Linked DNA regions of Oryzias latipes. The protein of the gene in region 2 interacts with the protein of the main gene of each other region in a biochemical or structural test. Links are inferred from orthologs where the notes say so. Each region holds a gene or a part of one and is shown on either strand. Other genes may lie near its edges. The genes, in order: ras-related protein Ral-A and exoc2.

Region 1 (8,352 bases), on a different chromosome or scaffold from region 2:
GCCAGTCCTATTGTTGTTTACCAATTGCTGTTGGGGGTCACAGTCCTCTGCTTCCCTAAAAGTGGAAGCAAAGACATATTCATTTCCTGCCTGTTAAGTTTGGGAAATGTAAAATAGTAATGCCAGTAACTATTTTATCTCAAAGTTGGAGATCTTTCATGATCACAAGAGGTATTTTTTACTTCAAAATCAGATCATTTCCATGACATTTTTGCTTGCAACATTCGTGTATTTTAAAAACCCATTCTGATAATCTTTTAATGTACATTCAAAACATTCCTAGTGGTCTTTCAATTATGGCGGCGGTGTGTTTTTTGGCCAAAATAAAAAATAAAAAAAACTGTCAAACGTCACAAATACGTCTTTTTTTCCCCTTTTTGTTCCTTTAATGCAATTTTAAGCTTCTTTCTTTTCCTCCATCATCAGAAAAATGTTTAAAACACTAAAAAACACTTTCCATCACAGCGGCTCTATTAAAAAAATAAATTAAATAAATGATAGTTCTTGTACTCACCCTGTCATTTTCTGCAAATCTCGTACAAGAAACTGTAGAGACTCCAACAGTTTCAATTTGATTTCACTAGAAAAAAAATAAAAGAACGACTAAATTGTCATAAAAGAACCTTTTAGCCAAAATAAAAGACGTCGTTCGAGAGCGTACTTGTCTCCAGGGATGTTGTACTGAGTGAAAAGGTCTTTCAGCCTCGTGGAGAACGCAGCAAAGTCTTCGGATCTATGGCATCAACATTTACAACCATAGTTATAAGTCTTTTTCAAAATAAAAGCTGGAGAGCCATTTAACACTTCCTACAGGTAGATTAGCAAGTGTGCTTTGATGTTTTATCCATTAAAGCATTTAATTAATGAAGCATTTAAGGCTTTCTCTGCATAGTTGTCGTTTGTCCTGAATTCAGTCTAATTTTCTGGCATTTCAACTTATTTTAGTCGTTTTCTTTTTTGTGTGAGTTCATTTTCAGCTTCATCACTTAGCTTCTCTTATCCATTATAATAGTTCCAGGTGATCTTTAAGTAATTTTTATTTCTGAGAAAAATAATAACTTTTTTTTTTAAATATTCCATTTAAAGTTCAGCATCACATCCTTTTGTCTTATTTCTGAATTCAGAATGTGCAGCTTTTTCCTCTGAATTGTTGCAATTCACAGCATTTTAGTTATGGCTGCATATTTTTACAGAAAATGATAAACTAATTTGTATCCTTGTGGCAAAAAACAAAAAAAAAACGTTAACGTTCCTCGTCCTCTTACCTCAGTGTCTTCAGAAAAGACTCGCTGGGCTGCAGAAAAAAAATGTTATTTAATTAACAAATGGAGTGAAAAGCAAACGCTACATCATACATGAACAAGTCTACTTACGACAGGACCTTCTCCGTGAAGCGCCACCTTCACCTCCTGCACGCCACCACACGGCGGCAGCAGCACCTCCAGGTAAAACAGGTCGGCGGTAAGGTAACACGTGTCTTCTGTGACGTGAAACCCCATCCTTGGGAGGAAACGTTCAAACGAATGTCAGAATGTGATCAGAATGTTGATTCAAAGGTGTTTTCCGTGACTGCTTCGCTTTACCCTTGTTGCTGGGCTATCATTTCCAAACGGGACCTCGTCACACTTCTGCAAGGAGCTGAAACGTTAAAAAATAATAATAAAAACACTAATAAAATGCCCAAAGAAGTGCTGGGAGGATTGTTTACCATGAAGCACATCCTGGAGTCTTTCCAGGGATCGAACCAGTGGTTCACAAGGCTTTGATTCAATTCTGGATTTCTCCTGTTGGGGAACAAAAGGAGGCGGGAAAAGAAGCAACAATAGACGACTTGTTGGTTTGCTCAACGCTCTCTGGTCCCGTGAACCCATCCTCCCCGGGAACAAACGCTGCCTGACGCCAAACAGACAGCTGAATTTCAATACCTGAAGCTAAAAAAAACTAACTTTTGAATGAAAAATGGCCATTTTAAAAAACCCCAGCCTGCAAGACTGCTGCTCAGAAATGCGTCCAACTATAACCCCATCTGCCCAATCCCCTCGGACCACACATCATTTCAGACCGCCGCGTAATCGTGTTTCTTTAGCAGACTCCAGGGACGGACCGCTGCCAAGCTCCACTCTGAATAAATCCACTAGAATTACCGACTCTGCTCCTCCACCCATGACAAATCTAAAGAAAACTCTGCTTGCACACAAGTTTGGACGGAAACCTTCATGAGCACGCTGAGCTTTTGCTGTTCACACTCACTGACCACAAAAACCTGCAGACTTTACTTAAGTTTCATGATGCAGATGTGTAAAAAGCTCAATTTAAAAACACTTTAATGAACAAGACAAAGAATTTAGTAACGCTGCAGACAACAGATATTAGCTATTGCATGAAAATTGTGTTTCTGTGGCATTTTTCTTAAGGCTGGAGGACAGATATAGAGAAATGCACAACTCAGAGGCAAATTTCTCCTGAAATGATGCCGCTCTGCAGAAACTATGTCCTAGAAAACAACACGGGGTTGGCTAAAAACAGCATAATCATCATTAAGAAATTAATACAGAGGAGGATGAAAGTGAAACTTTAAACTACTTTAGGATGACTTAGTTAAAAACTAGAAGGAGCTGCATTTCCAGAAGAAAATGCAGGGTTGAATGCTGTATTACAGAGTGAAAATGAAACTTAAAGGGTAATAACTGGCAAAAATAAATAAATAAATGAATGATCAAAGTTGACCATAAATAAAGTAAAAACAGCACAATAAACAAATAAGAAAAAATGCCAGAGCCGGGATTCGAACCGGCGAGCTTCTGCACCAAGGATTCCCCATTTATTTCAATGGAGGCAGAAATCCTGGAAATCCTGGAATATCTTGAAAAGTTCAAGGATTTGTAGGACCAAAAGTCAAAGCTGGAAAAAGATGAAAGAGCTGAACATTTGAATAGTTGAATGGTTGAAATAGCTGAAAAATTGTAGAAGGAGTTAAGCGGCAAAAAAAAAATGGTGAAGATACTAGAATAAACAGAAACGGGAAAACAAGAAAGAAAAAAAACAGGAAAAGCTAGAAATCGTTAAACCAAAATAACAAAAGTCAAATATAATTTAAAGACATTTGTGCTCACCATGCACCTTTGAACAAGCAGAAGAGTGTCATTCCAGCTCCTCTGTGCAAACTTCAGCTGCAGGCCGGAAATTAAGCTGCTTCTCTTCATGACTGCAAACAAAAATATATTTAAAAAAACAAACAGACGTCTGTGTTTTGATGATATATCTTTCTACAGTTAGTTACTGATCCACTCTCCAACGTTGAAACACTCAGAGAAATGGCTTATATAGGACAAACCTGCCACCGTTTATGCCAATCATCCGGGTCATTTATACCATTTAGCGCGCGGACTCTGGTGTTTTTACGATATTTTATCATAACAGAAGACGATTAATTCATTGCGTTGTGTGTTTTTTCGTCATTGCAAGTTTGATAAATCAACCCAGACACAAAAGTGAGCCGGCTTGTCTGGCTCTCCCGGGCGGGCGGGCGGGCGTTGTCAGCAGGAGCCAAGCCCACAGGAGGTGCAGTCCGCCCGCCCGCCGCTGCTCACACACAGCTAGCCATGAGCTAACGAGCAGCTAGCTGACTCTTTTTTTATTTTACCATCACAATTCCGCCTCTGCGTCGACTCTTCCGCCTCGGGAATACTTGGGTGTACCGGTAGGTGTTTCCTCCCACAGAGCCCTTTGTTCATCTGCTCCAGCTGGTTCCTAATTCCTCTTTTTGGATTTTTTTTTTCTGTTTGTATTTTTTTTTAGTCGGGTTAGTTAGTTGATTAGCCGCGAGCGCGTTAGCTCTTCCCCTGTGTGTGCTTTGCTAGCGACTAAATAAAATAAAAACTGCTGGGTTTGAAGCCCGTGTTCGAGCATCTGTTGCTGCTCTCAAATAGAACCGGACCTCAAGAAGACCTCCACACCGAACCGGTACGTTTTCGGAACTCCAGCAACTAATTATTCCACGCAGGTGCGGCTAACCTGAGTGTTTTTAGCTACATCGTCAGTCAGGCAGCTAGCTACATTTTATTGACAGCTACTAACTTGTTAACAAGTTACCCCCTCGTTGATGATACAGGGTCTGTGGACGTGCGTGGGACCGTGTCTGGTAATTTCAACCGCCGCCCGTTTAGTCATCGGTGCAGTCAGACTAATCCCATTGTGTGCTCTGTTGTTGTCGTTTAAAAATGCAGCTTCATGACAGCGACGTCGTTGTAATCACTGCTGCTGCGCCTGAATGACTGTCATTATCCGCTATAAATCCGCATTTCTTTATGCCTTAAGATTGTTTGATGAATGTTTCTATAGCCGTGAAGCTGCAGAAACGCCTCTCAGTCCGGCCAGCTGACGTTCCCACTTTCGATCATTCTGCTGCTTTAAAACTATTACCGTAATGGAGAATTGGCTTCATATGCTGAATTGTTAAATCGCCTGTCGATGCTCGGGTCCATTTTTGTCAATTTGTTTAATGATGTTCTGGCAGGATTCCCGTGTTTATTTATCTCTGATCCCCAGAGGTTTGGCTTTGGCCTGGTAAGCTTAGGGCCTCCGAGCTGAACACTTCTTTTCTCATCCGTCCGACAGACCATTATGATAGAGTAACATGTAAACATCTGTCATTTGCATCCGAGTGGATTTACGACCATACAGAAACTTCCAGATGTTGTGTTTTCCAGTCGCTTTGGTTGCTTTCAAGTCTTGAAGAGCCAATGTTGGAAAGATAGGGAGGGAGGGAGGATGACAGCTGAGATGGCTTTTCCCATAAGTCCTTGACTTTTGTTTTGCACATCTTGCATAAAAAATAAAGTCACATCTGGTGTCTCTTTCCTGGAACGTTGCAGAACTTTTGAAAAGTCCTGTACAGTCAAAGACGGGTCCACTTTAACAGACGTGTCACATGTATGTAGTTTGATCTAAAAGAGATTCTAAACATGTTAAATAAGGTTATCTTAAATGCTTAATTCACTCAATTCCTCTCTGCATCACACTTGACATCCAAATTGTCTTGGATTTGCCCTTTTCTTGCAGGGAAATTATGATGCAATTTCTTCTTTTTTTGTTGTTTTAATCTCCACAGGAATTTTCATTTAGTCCTTTTCCACAGCTGGACATTTTCTAAGGTCTTCACTTCCTCTGCTTCACGGCGTCATGGCAGCTGCAAAACCAAAAGGCCAGAACTCTCTAGCTCTCCACAAAGTGATCATGGTGGGCAGTGGAGGAGTGGGGAAGTCTGCGCTGACCCTGCAGTTCATGTACGATGAGGTGAGCCGCTCATCACAGACTCATGTCGAAGGAGATCTTCTGGCCATAACCCACAATGCCGTGTGTTCCAGTTTGTGGAAGATTACGAGCCCACTAAAGCAGACAGCTACAGGAAGAAAGTGGTGCTGGATGGAGAGGAGGTGCAGATCGACATCCTTGATACGGCCGGCCAAGAGGACTACGCAGCCATCCGGGATAATTACTTCCGCAGCGGCGAAGGTTTCCTCTGCGTGTTTTCCATCACAGAATTGGAGTCCTTTGCAGCAACAGTAGACTTCAGGTGAATGTTTTTAACGTCGCCTCGACAACACGCTTCTAAAATCGCCAAACTCTGATCTTCGTGTTGGGTTTGACCCCCCCCCCCCCCCCCCAATCTCATCCAAAGACCTCTGCAGACATTTTTTGACTTTATTATCGTCCTAATTAAGTTTCTGTGCATCACACGCTCTTCCCATCAACTACTGTTCAAATGTTTAATGAAGCACACCTAAAGAATGGGAGGTCGGGGGTTCAAGTCCACGGTGAGGTCATACTAAAGACTAAAAATGGGACGTGGTACCTGTCTGGTTGACACTCTGTAGAAAGTAATAAGGGGTTGAAACGAGGAGGGGGCTGGGTTTATTATAAAACAGCAGAAATAATGCAAAACTGTTAAGTTGAATGCCAAAGTTAAAATGTATTCAAAGTACGGTTTGGTGAGAGACAAACCTGTTCTCCTTTTTTGCTTTAATGCCTGTAATGCTGGATTATCTGAACAATTGAATGAATTGATTTTAAACTGGTGTTTAATTCTTAGAGCTAGGCTTGTACAGAGAATCGCAAATTTATCGTTATTGTGATATCAAGCTGTGCAATAAAAAATTTTTTTAAACAATATTATGGCAGTTTGAAGCTTTTCACAATTTAAATAAATCCCTTTATGCATTTGACCAATGGGGTGGACCCCTGTTATGTAGACGAGGGTCATTAGGAGTTATGTTGACTCTTATTTTAATTAAACTGTTGCAGTGAAATGGAAATGATGAATTTGGTTATTGCTATTAGTTTATATATCGTCATCGCAATATTGATCATTAATATCGCCAGTTTTCCTCGTATCAAAAGTTAACGTGAAGGTTTCACAAACTTTTTAGATTTTGACAATTTTGGTTTAAAACAAACAAAAGTTGAGTTTTTTTGTTTGGACAGTTTCAGATACATTGTGGAATTATTGGGTTTTCTAATGAAAAACTGAACTGTTGTAAGGATAAACTATTGGAGCAATTTTTAAAGTAGGAAAAAAAGCTCAAGCCTCCAGAATACTATGGGTTAAAAAGCCAAAACTTTCTGCTGAAATGTTTTTAAACTTTGCTCTCTTTATTTCAAACTTTGTGGAAATTTTGATTCTTTTTTTTAAAAGCCCTCAAGTTCTTTTAAAACTTTCCTAAAATGCTTTTGCTATTCTGAAAGAAAAGAAAAAGTAAATGCCATCAAAAACGATCTATATGGTCATGAATCAATGAATTGACCCACGTCAGCTCATGCTGGCAGACGTTGGATGACAGGTTTCACGTCTGACCCACATTGGCTGCCCTACAGGGAGCAGATTCTGCGGGTGAAGGAGGACGAGAGCGTGCCCTTCCTCCTGGTCGGTAACAAGTCGGACCTGGACGACCGGCGGCAGGTCAGCGCCGAGGAGGCCAAGGCCCGCGCGGAGCAGTGGGGAGTCAGCTACGTGGAAACTTCTGCCAAAACCCGTGCCAACGTTGACAAGGTTGGTGTCGGCGCGCTGAGCGACGGCCTCGTTCATAAAGATCTGCAACTCCTTTCTGTCGCTTGTCTGCTTTTGTTTAGGTGTTTTTCGACCTGATGAGAGAAATCCGAGCGAGGAAAATGGAGGACAGCAAAGAGAAGAACGGGAAGAAGAAAAGCAAAAGTTTGGCCAAAAGAATCAGAGAGCGATGCTGTATTTTATAGTGGTGTGATGCTGAAGTACGCGCACATTTCTCAGACGTTTGCATTTATTTTGTGCCCAAACCTGACCGTAACCTTGCGTTAGTGGCCGAGAGGACATTTGACTGAGGGTCAGGCCGTAGAACGGTGGCGCTCCATTCACCACTTATAGCTCTAACTTTTTATGTTCTGACACTCCAAATACTTTATCTTCCTTCTTCTCTCAACAACAGGGTCATTAGATGGATGTTTTGTTTTTTACATTTAGGCTGAAGCTCAATAATAAGCCCTGACAAGCTTTTGTTGTATAGTTTTGTGTGTGAAACATCCTTAAAAAAACGTTGCAGTGCGCTTAGGCTGAGAAAGAGTTGAGAGCCCAGGTTTCAAGAGGAAACAGAAAAGCCCCCGATCCACGCTAACGCGACACCGTCTGCTTTAGATGAGTAGACAGTTGGAGTTCAAGGACACGCTCAGTGTCACGGTGGAAATGAAATTCAATGCCATTCCTTCTTACTTTGCAAATATTCCATGTGGAAGTTTTTATTTTTTGTGTCTGTCTGTGATCAACACATGTAGAAAAGAGCACTAACGCTTCCATTTCCTTCCCTCTTCTCCAGGTCTCCTCAAATGCACAAATAACCTTCACCCTTTAGGGAATTTAAACAACAAAACACTTGAACTTTTCAGATGTTTCTCAGCTTTTAGTTTATTTCATCTCAAAATGTTATTTCCTTTTCAGAATAGAGGAATCTCTGGTGCTCTGATAAAAGGTGATTCCGTAACACTAAACCTTTTACGCGCTGCACTCGTTCATGTTTTCAACTCACTTTAATCGCTGACTTTAAATCCCACTTTTTTTTTTGTTTTTTGACATTTATTTTCAAAGAGTTGGAGTATGCTTAAAAAAAAGAAAAAAAGTGAAGTGGTACCTGTTCAAAAACGATGCTGTCGGTTACCAAAGAAAACAGCTAGCTAGTTCAAACAAGTGCCCGCTCACTAATGTAAGTGTCTGAAAACCTGCCATACAGAAAACGGATTATTAAAAAAACAAGAAGCACTACAATGTCTGTGTGAGACCTCAAAGATCAACTGGGTGTCATGGAAAGCAAAATATTTAGCTCTGGA
Region 2 (7,315 bases):
CATGCTTCAGAACTTTTTTTCTTTTTTTAGACAATCAACATCTCCTGCCTGTAAACTACTTGAGTGGAGCGATTAGCATACGCAACAGCTGGGACTGTCCTGCACAGTAACAATGAAATCCACTCATTTAGTGTCAGATCAGATAAACAGACATGTGTGTGTTTCTTTTGGTGAAGCAGAAATTGAAAGTGACACTGTAAAAAAAAAAATAAAAAAATAAAAAGAACAGATGAGTAAACAATATAATGATAGATGAGGAGATAAAGTTACGGTTCGTTAGATGACTGTGAGCAGATAAAGGAGAGTAGAGTGGCGCTGTGGTGGAGCAAAAAGCAGGTCATCTTTTGACAAGCGGGATGTTGGACGACTGGAAGCAGGTGAGCTGGAGATGCATGCTGCTCTTGAACTTGTTGAGCAGCTCTTCCAGCAACCTGGAGGGGGGAGATGATAATCTCACAAATCAAATTTGTTTTTGAATTTTTCGTGGGGGCAGAAGGCTGAATTCTCAGAACATGAGATGACCGACTCACTTCTTATCGCCTCCGCTGTGGAGCTGAGGCAGAGCCTCCAGAGCCAGTTTAAAGCTGGTGCTGAAAAAAATACGGCGCTCGGTTAAGACGTTACAAGAAAAACCGCACGTTTATTAACAGATGAAAGCCAGAGTATGCAGTTCAGGATGAGTATATGTACTCCATCCTGACATGAATGCAGAAACACACACATGCACACAGCAGCACACAATAGAACCAGATTACTTTCACTTCCCTTCCAGAAGCCACTAACTAACACACAGGGATTGTTGAGAGGGATATTCCCCTGGTGAAAACTGATGTCTGTGACATTCACTGCCATAAATCACAGGGCGCACATACTTACTTGCTGTCAGGGTTTATGTATGTGGCCACAGCGTCTCTTAGGGCGCAGAGCTCAAGCCGGGCCTAAGCGAATAGAAGGAAAAAAAAAAAAAAAACTAGGTGTAGCCAAGACCAAGTGATAATTGATAAACTGTCAGCTTCTTCAACTGAGATGTGGCGTTAGAAGAAATGACATGCCCACTTCCCCCCTTAAAAAGCAAGTGCGGCGTCGGCTTATGAGTCAGGGTCTTACTATGACTGAAATCGTGTACCTGCAGGGCGCCGTTTTTGCTGAAAGAGGACACACACTGCATCAGGCGACACATCTCATCTGCAACTGATGTCACGATCCTCGAGAGAACCGGAGGAACCAGATCCTTGGAGACTGTAAAGACCTGACAAAAAAGGAGCACTTAGATCCAAACTGCAAGGAAGTCAGAGGGATGAGAGCTGATGGTCTGGGTTTGTACCTCAGCATGGACTGCGATGATGCTCACAAGAGCTTCCTTTAGGTAGTTCCTCACACCTGAGAGAGTTAAAGTACAACATTAGTAAGGAGGTTCTTCATAAGTAAAAAACAATTCGATATGAAATCTTTTACACCTGAGCTTTAGCTCCAGTGTTAACGGTCTCCTGACTACCGTAGCTTTTCAACCGTTAACGCCATTGACAGAATTTCAGTGGATTCTGAAGAGGAGAAAAGCGGCTTCGCGTCGTTATGCAAAACTTCACCTCAGTAATGTTTTACATATCGGTGCAAAGCCGATACGAAGGCTGCTTTTCTGCGCGTCAGAATCCGCTGATTCATGTTGATCATTAAAAATGGTCAAAGATTGCCGCTTTGACAAGGAGTGGGCGCCATTTAGGTATCGCCGGCAACACCTCCAATGTAAAAGGGTTAGAAAATGATGAGAGGGATTGCAGCCGACATCCTGTCGTCTTTATGGAAATTTAGACCCAATGGAGGTGTGTGGTAGTTTCTTTTTATGCATGGTTTTGCAATAATTCCAACAATTACTCTATGGCATTGGTTTTGATTTAAACTGTACTTATGCTTTCTCAGTTAAACAAACTCTTCCTATCTTTTTTTGCAGTTGAAGGACTAACTGGAACCACTTCAGTAAAAAATAAAAAAACAATATATTTTGGAATCCAATCCCAAAGACTGAGAGAAGCTGAAACCTCTGCATGTGTCTCCAGAGCAGTTTTCCAAGTTCCACTAAGCAGAGAAGCTCTCTGACCAACAAGTATTGTAAGTTTTGACTAAACTAAGTGTGAAGTCCGCTTGAAAATGTAGTAACTTCTAATCTCCATTTTGTCCTAACATTAGAAAGAAAGCAGCTGATCGCCTTCCGTGTCTGTGTTCAGAGTGCTTAGGCGTCAAAACTACAGCCTCAGTGAAAAAGAAGCAACACGTCTGTAAAGTTCCCACTTTAGCAACATGAACCCAACAGACCTTTTAGTAAATGCAGCGGCGGACCGTGCGTTACACACCTGGGCCTTCAGTAGTGCTACGTCTGAATCACTCACTCCCTCATGAACCCTTTTACGAGGCAAAAACGAGCTTTGCATTGCATATTGAAAATTCCTGTAGCCACAAATAAATGCCTCTAAATAAGCTGAATAAACAAAACAGTAAACAAATCTCGTTATGCTACTACAGCCAGGAAAAAAACATTGAAAAAAAACACATACATTTGGAATAATATTTATTATGATACTTATCATTTCACTCATCAAAAAATCTGATTATTTGAAGACAAAATTCGTCCTCCTCTCTTTCATCAAAAACAGTTTGATGACCCTGTCATGTAGATTATCACGCTTCAGTTCCATCAAGTCCTTTTCATTTCCTTCAAGGTCAGTGCTGAAAGCGAGTCTTTCCAGTTGTGATTCTGGGTAAGTTTTAATTTGCTTTAGAGCTGAAAATGTCCGCTCGACAGATGCAGTGGACGCGGGGATGGTCAGCGCCAAACACACAAATCTGTACAGCTGATTCACGATCTCACAGATTTTTCTGATAAAGTCAAGGAGATCAGTGGGAGATTTTCCTGCAAAATCGCATACATTACAGTCAGCTCTGTTTTTAACCAAGACAGATCAAAAAATGCTCCGTGGTTCTTTGTCAAACTGGGCAAGGCTGCATGTGGGAAATGTTTCCTGTATTCCTGAAACTTCTGTCCAATCAGAGGGTCTGAATACCGTGATGCTGCCTAAGCCTGCTAGAAGGCCCTGCTGACACCAACTCAAAATCTGATTGGTTGACAGAAATGAATGTCCGACATTAGATCTCGCAGTATAGAACCTTCAGTACCGATGGTGAAGGCCTCTTTAGCTCTGACCCTGCCTAGCAAGAAAGGACAGCTGAAATGCGATTGGTTAAATGCACCAATATGAAAACACATGGATGCAGCAAAACCATCATAAACACACTTAAATAGAATGGACAGACCAATTGGAATGATTTAATGAGTATGCATGGACAAAATATAATTAACACATGATTCAGATATTTTTAGGCCTTCAGAGAAGGCCTTGAAGGCCCTGACGGCCCACCACTGAGTAAATGGTTTCCACGGGTTAACCGAAGCTGCTAAAAATTAGCAACACATCTTTAGCCCGCAATGCTAATCGTACTACAGAGAACGAGTCATTCTGCAATCACTGTTACTAGTAATCATTGGTTTAGAAGTGGAAGTGACTCGGAGCTTTGGACATTGCTTAAGTTGGGCATTTTTCCACTAAAACTCGTCAAAGTTTCTCCTCTGTGGTTTGCTCCATTCTTCTTGTTTTCGTCATTCCTGCGTTCGGCGCCACTGTGTGAAGCTGTTAAAGACGTGAAACCAAAAACTGAGAACGTGTTCAAGGAATCCTATTTCACAGCTTCTTAGACTATTGAAAGTAGGACACAAGTGTATTGAAAGTATATCGATGACTTTAGGAATTTAACCGCCAGAGCTTTTTCTAAAATGCTAACGTTTAGCAGTTGAGCAAAACTGTACACCATGTAACTGCCATAATAGGAAAATAAACAGATCATGATACATTTCTTGTGTGCATCATAGTTTTGCCTTTTTCAGCAGTGTATGATGGTGCAGACAGCCCAAATTCAGAGATTATAATTCTTTATTTATTTGATGAATTGTTATCTTGTTGGCAAAACACAAATCCAGAAATCCTAATGTTCCAGAGCACAACCAAGTAGAGGAAAGATGTTTGTCTTCCTATAAATATAACTTAAGACACTTTCTAATAAAATCAATCATTTCTTGCGTTTAAAAAATGCACAGAAGGCCAGAATTTGCTGATGCCTAATTGTATTGTCAATAAAAGAGCAGTACTTTAAAATAAACCAAACACTAAAATCTGTAAGTGACATAGACAAAAGCAGCAACAAAAAAAAACGTACTGAAACCGGATTCTCGATGCCCTGCAACACCCCACACGCTAAAATAGGACCGACACAAGGAGTGCGACAAGTGAAAGTATCATATCCTAGAACTGTGGTTTGCTGTCCATAATGTTCCTCTTTCGGATGTAAGCTCAAACATGAACTTTCAGAGGAAGCAACAAACCTGTGTGGGGCTCACACTTTTTTTTGTTGTCAAGACAAGGTAAAAAAAAAAAAAAAAAAGGCTAAACCGTAGCCCTTTCTGACAGATTCACTAGCTCTGTTTTGTTGCTTCACATCCTGCGTTAGGTTCAACCGCACACTCATATTAAAGTTTCACCTTTGTTTGTAAAGCTTGAGGGAGAAATGTCAATGTAAAGTAAAAAATTACTTCACACCCACACCTCCACAGAAAAGGCCGTGAGAGCTTGAGGAAGAAGAGCGAGAGCATGAACTCAGCAGTGTTTACAGTAAGGCTTCAAAGAGCTGTACTTCATACATGACACACTCTAACCACAACTGAGCTGAAGAGACCAAAGTCACCAGGTTTTGACTAAACAAGTCTGCTGGTGGCTGATCTCTCATGCTCCTTGGGTCAATGAGTGGTGATGGTGGGGGTTTCCCTCATGGTCTCAAACGCGGCTCCTGGCATTCATCAGGTGATACCTGACGGCGTCTGGCAGTCCCTCCAGTCAAAGTATCCAGCGTAGATTCCAGGCTCTAGGGAGCCGGCGATGGGGTCGGCACGCCGCTCGATGTAAGCTTCAAAGAGTTTCCGGTCCAGCTCTCGGATGGCGTCCATGCTCACCTGGAGGACGAGGAGGGAAAGAGAAAGATGGCTGCTGTCATCTATTTCTTTGGACATGACCTTGTAAGTGGAAAGTAAAAAAGAAATTAAAAAGAATAAAAAGTGGATTAAGCTGCTTACATCGCCATCTGCAACACGTTCAAGAGATCACTTCCATTGAAAAGTCTTTGTAAACGCACATATATGTGCGTTAGGGCATCTGTGTTCAACACTTTAGCATTCATGTGTCGCTACGCACAATTTTAGGACTGTTTTTAGGCTCCATGTACAAAACATGCTGTCATCAAAAGCATGTTGAAAGTTAAACAAGTTTGATCTTTGACCAATCAGAGACTCTGATTTGGTAGTGACGCATGGATGGCATCCCTTTAATTGACGGAAGTGCCCAACGTTTGAAAATTGATCGTGGAAGAGAAATTAACAGCTGCACGTTGGGCTCAGCCGTTATTCTATGACAGCAAGTCTTTCATATCTCAGAATAGAACTGTGAGAATTGTAGCAAGATTCATAAGGTTTGCAGGGCTTTGACATTTCGAACCAAGCCTCTTCCAACTTTAGGCACATGCGCTAGTATGGGTAGTGACAGTCCAGTGTGAACAAATGTACAAACAAACAAATGTGTGCTAAATGTCCGTTTAACATTGGATCCATTCCTGCACTTTTAGAGCAGCAGAATGCAGTACTTATGCTTTCATTCCAGAGAGATTCTGTTTGAACGGATCTAATGTTTACTATCCTTTGACATGCTTGGCTGAGGAGCAAAGTGACATCCAGACCTGGGTCTTAAACACATCCATAAGCATAACCTAAAGCAGAAAAATTGAAATGTGTTATTATGAATCTTTTTTCCTCTTTGTGTTGTTCTGCAGTGTGGAGAAACACAAAGATTTTCAAAAAGAAAAGAAAAAAGGTTTAATACTATGATCGACTATTTTTTTCTTTGCCATCAGCTTAATTCTTGGCTGGAAGAGAGATGGAATTAAATATTATGAAAGAGTTGGCTTACGCCATTGACTATAAAGGAGAACTGGACTGACTTTGTTCTGGCTCCAACCAAATGAAGTCAATTCAGTCGCCATTTTTTCGCAATGTAGATGTTGCCATGTTGGAGCCAGAAATCGTAAGTAAGCAGTGATTGGTCCAAATCAGTTTGAGTCATCGTTTCTATGGCGACCACTCTTGCCAACCAGGAGTAAGCTTGTTGAAAGGTCACACCCCTATCTTTTGAAAGTGGTCTTGGTAGAATCTGTCAATCAAACTTTTCAAACAATTGACTTAAAACGCATACCTTCATTGAGGCATCTGATTGTTCAGTGAATATACTTGAATAACTTGAAATAAAGAATAATAATAATGGTAAATAAAGAGGATTAGCAAAAAATGTAGCAGAGTAAGAACGGTTATTCCTACAAATGGAATGATTGAGCAATAGCCGTTTATTTCTCTGAAAAAGTCTAGCTTCTTGGAACCAGCAGGTACTTCCTGTTTGGAATGCAAGGGGGGAGGAGTCACTCAGTCCAGTTCTCAAATATAGTCAATGGTTTGAACTGAGGCTTAATTGAAATAGACCCCCCCCCCCCCCAATTTTTATTTATAAATAATAGGTCTAAACCCTCCTAAATTAATTTTTCAGGCATCAAGATGGATTTTTTTAAAATCTTGTATATCCTTCAATCTGACATTGGAGTAACACTGCAAAGAAACCAGACTGAGACAAAGAGTAAAAGAACCAACTTAGCACACTACATAAGTTAGCACAATCTGAACTGGTCACATGGTGTGTTTGTGAGCAGCTGCTAGCATTATTTATGCTGCTCTGACACCAGCTCCTATTAATAATGCTGTAAAGGCAGCATGTGCAGCAGTGGTACAACCCTTCAATACTTTCTTCTTTTTCTTGTTTACCGTTAAATGTGTTTAATGTGGAGCAGCACAGCTCAGCAGTCTAGACAAATTATCATAGGCATCATGCTTTCGGGTCTAATTCAAACTTTTAACTTAATCTTTCAAATAAAGTGAGTTTTTACAGGAAAATCAACAGATCAAACCCTTCTTAGCTTTGTGATTCAGCCATTAGTCATTGTGTGCAGCAGTGTGACTATGTTGAGAACAGAGGTGAAAAGTGTGACTTTTTCTTTTCATTAGTCATCCCTTTGCTGAGAAACGAAAAAAAACACACAGATCAGTTTAGTTGTTGTAGTTTGTTTTCTTCTCATGACGCCTCCACACTTCTCCTCAATAGGAGTGTAACAGCTGCAGGTC

The links.
Region 1: the proteins of exoc2 (region 2) and ras-related protein Ral-A are reported together in a solved structure, tested with the Homo sapiens proteins (2 studies listed by BioGRID, with this or other methods). The link is inferred for Oryzias latipes from reciprocal best matches to the Homo sapiens genes EXOC2 and RALA.

What each region holds. Positions count from the first base shown.
Region 1 is NC_019878.2:22,514,927-22,523,278, forward strand, and holds the start of ras-related protein Ral-A, read left to right. Parts: upstream 1-3,351; 5' UTR 3,352-3,643; coding exon of another isoform or gene 3,644-3,734; exon of another isoform or gene 3,735-3,750; intron 3,751-3,793; exon of another isoform or gene 3,794-3,963; intron 3,964-5,110; exon of another isoform or gene 5,111-5,137; 5' UTR 5,138-5,181; coding exon 5,182-5,295; intron 5,296-5,366; coding exon 5,367-5,575; intron 5,576-6,873; coding exon 6,874-7,048; intron 7,049-7,128; coding exon 7,129-7,251; 3' UTR 7,252-8,352. Other genes in the region: mediator of RNA polymerase II transcription subunit 1, read right to left, coding at 1-55, 515-580, 662-733, 1,266-1,294, 1,374-1,500, 1,584-1,638, 1,709-1,784, 3,114-3,205 and 1 more. UniProt on the Homo sapiens protein: Multifunctional GTPase involved in a variety of cellular processes including gene expression, cell migration, cell proliferation, oncogenic transformation and membrane trafficking.
Region 2 is NC_019862.2:21,229,718-21,237,032, reverse strand, and holds part of exoc2 (exocyst complex component 2), read right to left. Parts: intron 5,054-7,315; coding exon 4,912-5,053; intron 1,381-4,911; coding exon 1,325-1,380; intron 1,250-1,324; coding exon 1,127-1,249; intron 939-1,126; coding exon 877-938; intron 591-876; coding exon 531-590; intron 432-530; coding exon 338-431; 3' UTR 1-337. UniProt on the Homo sapiens protein: Component of the exocyst complex involved in the docking of exocytic vesicles with fusion sites on the plasma membrane.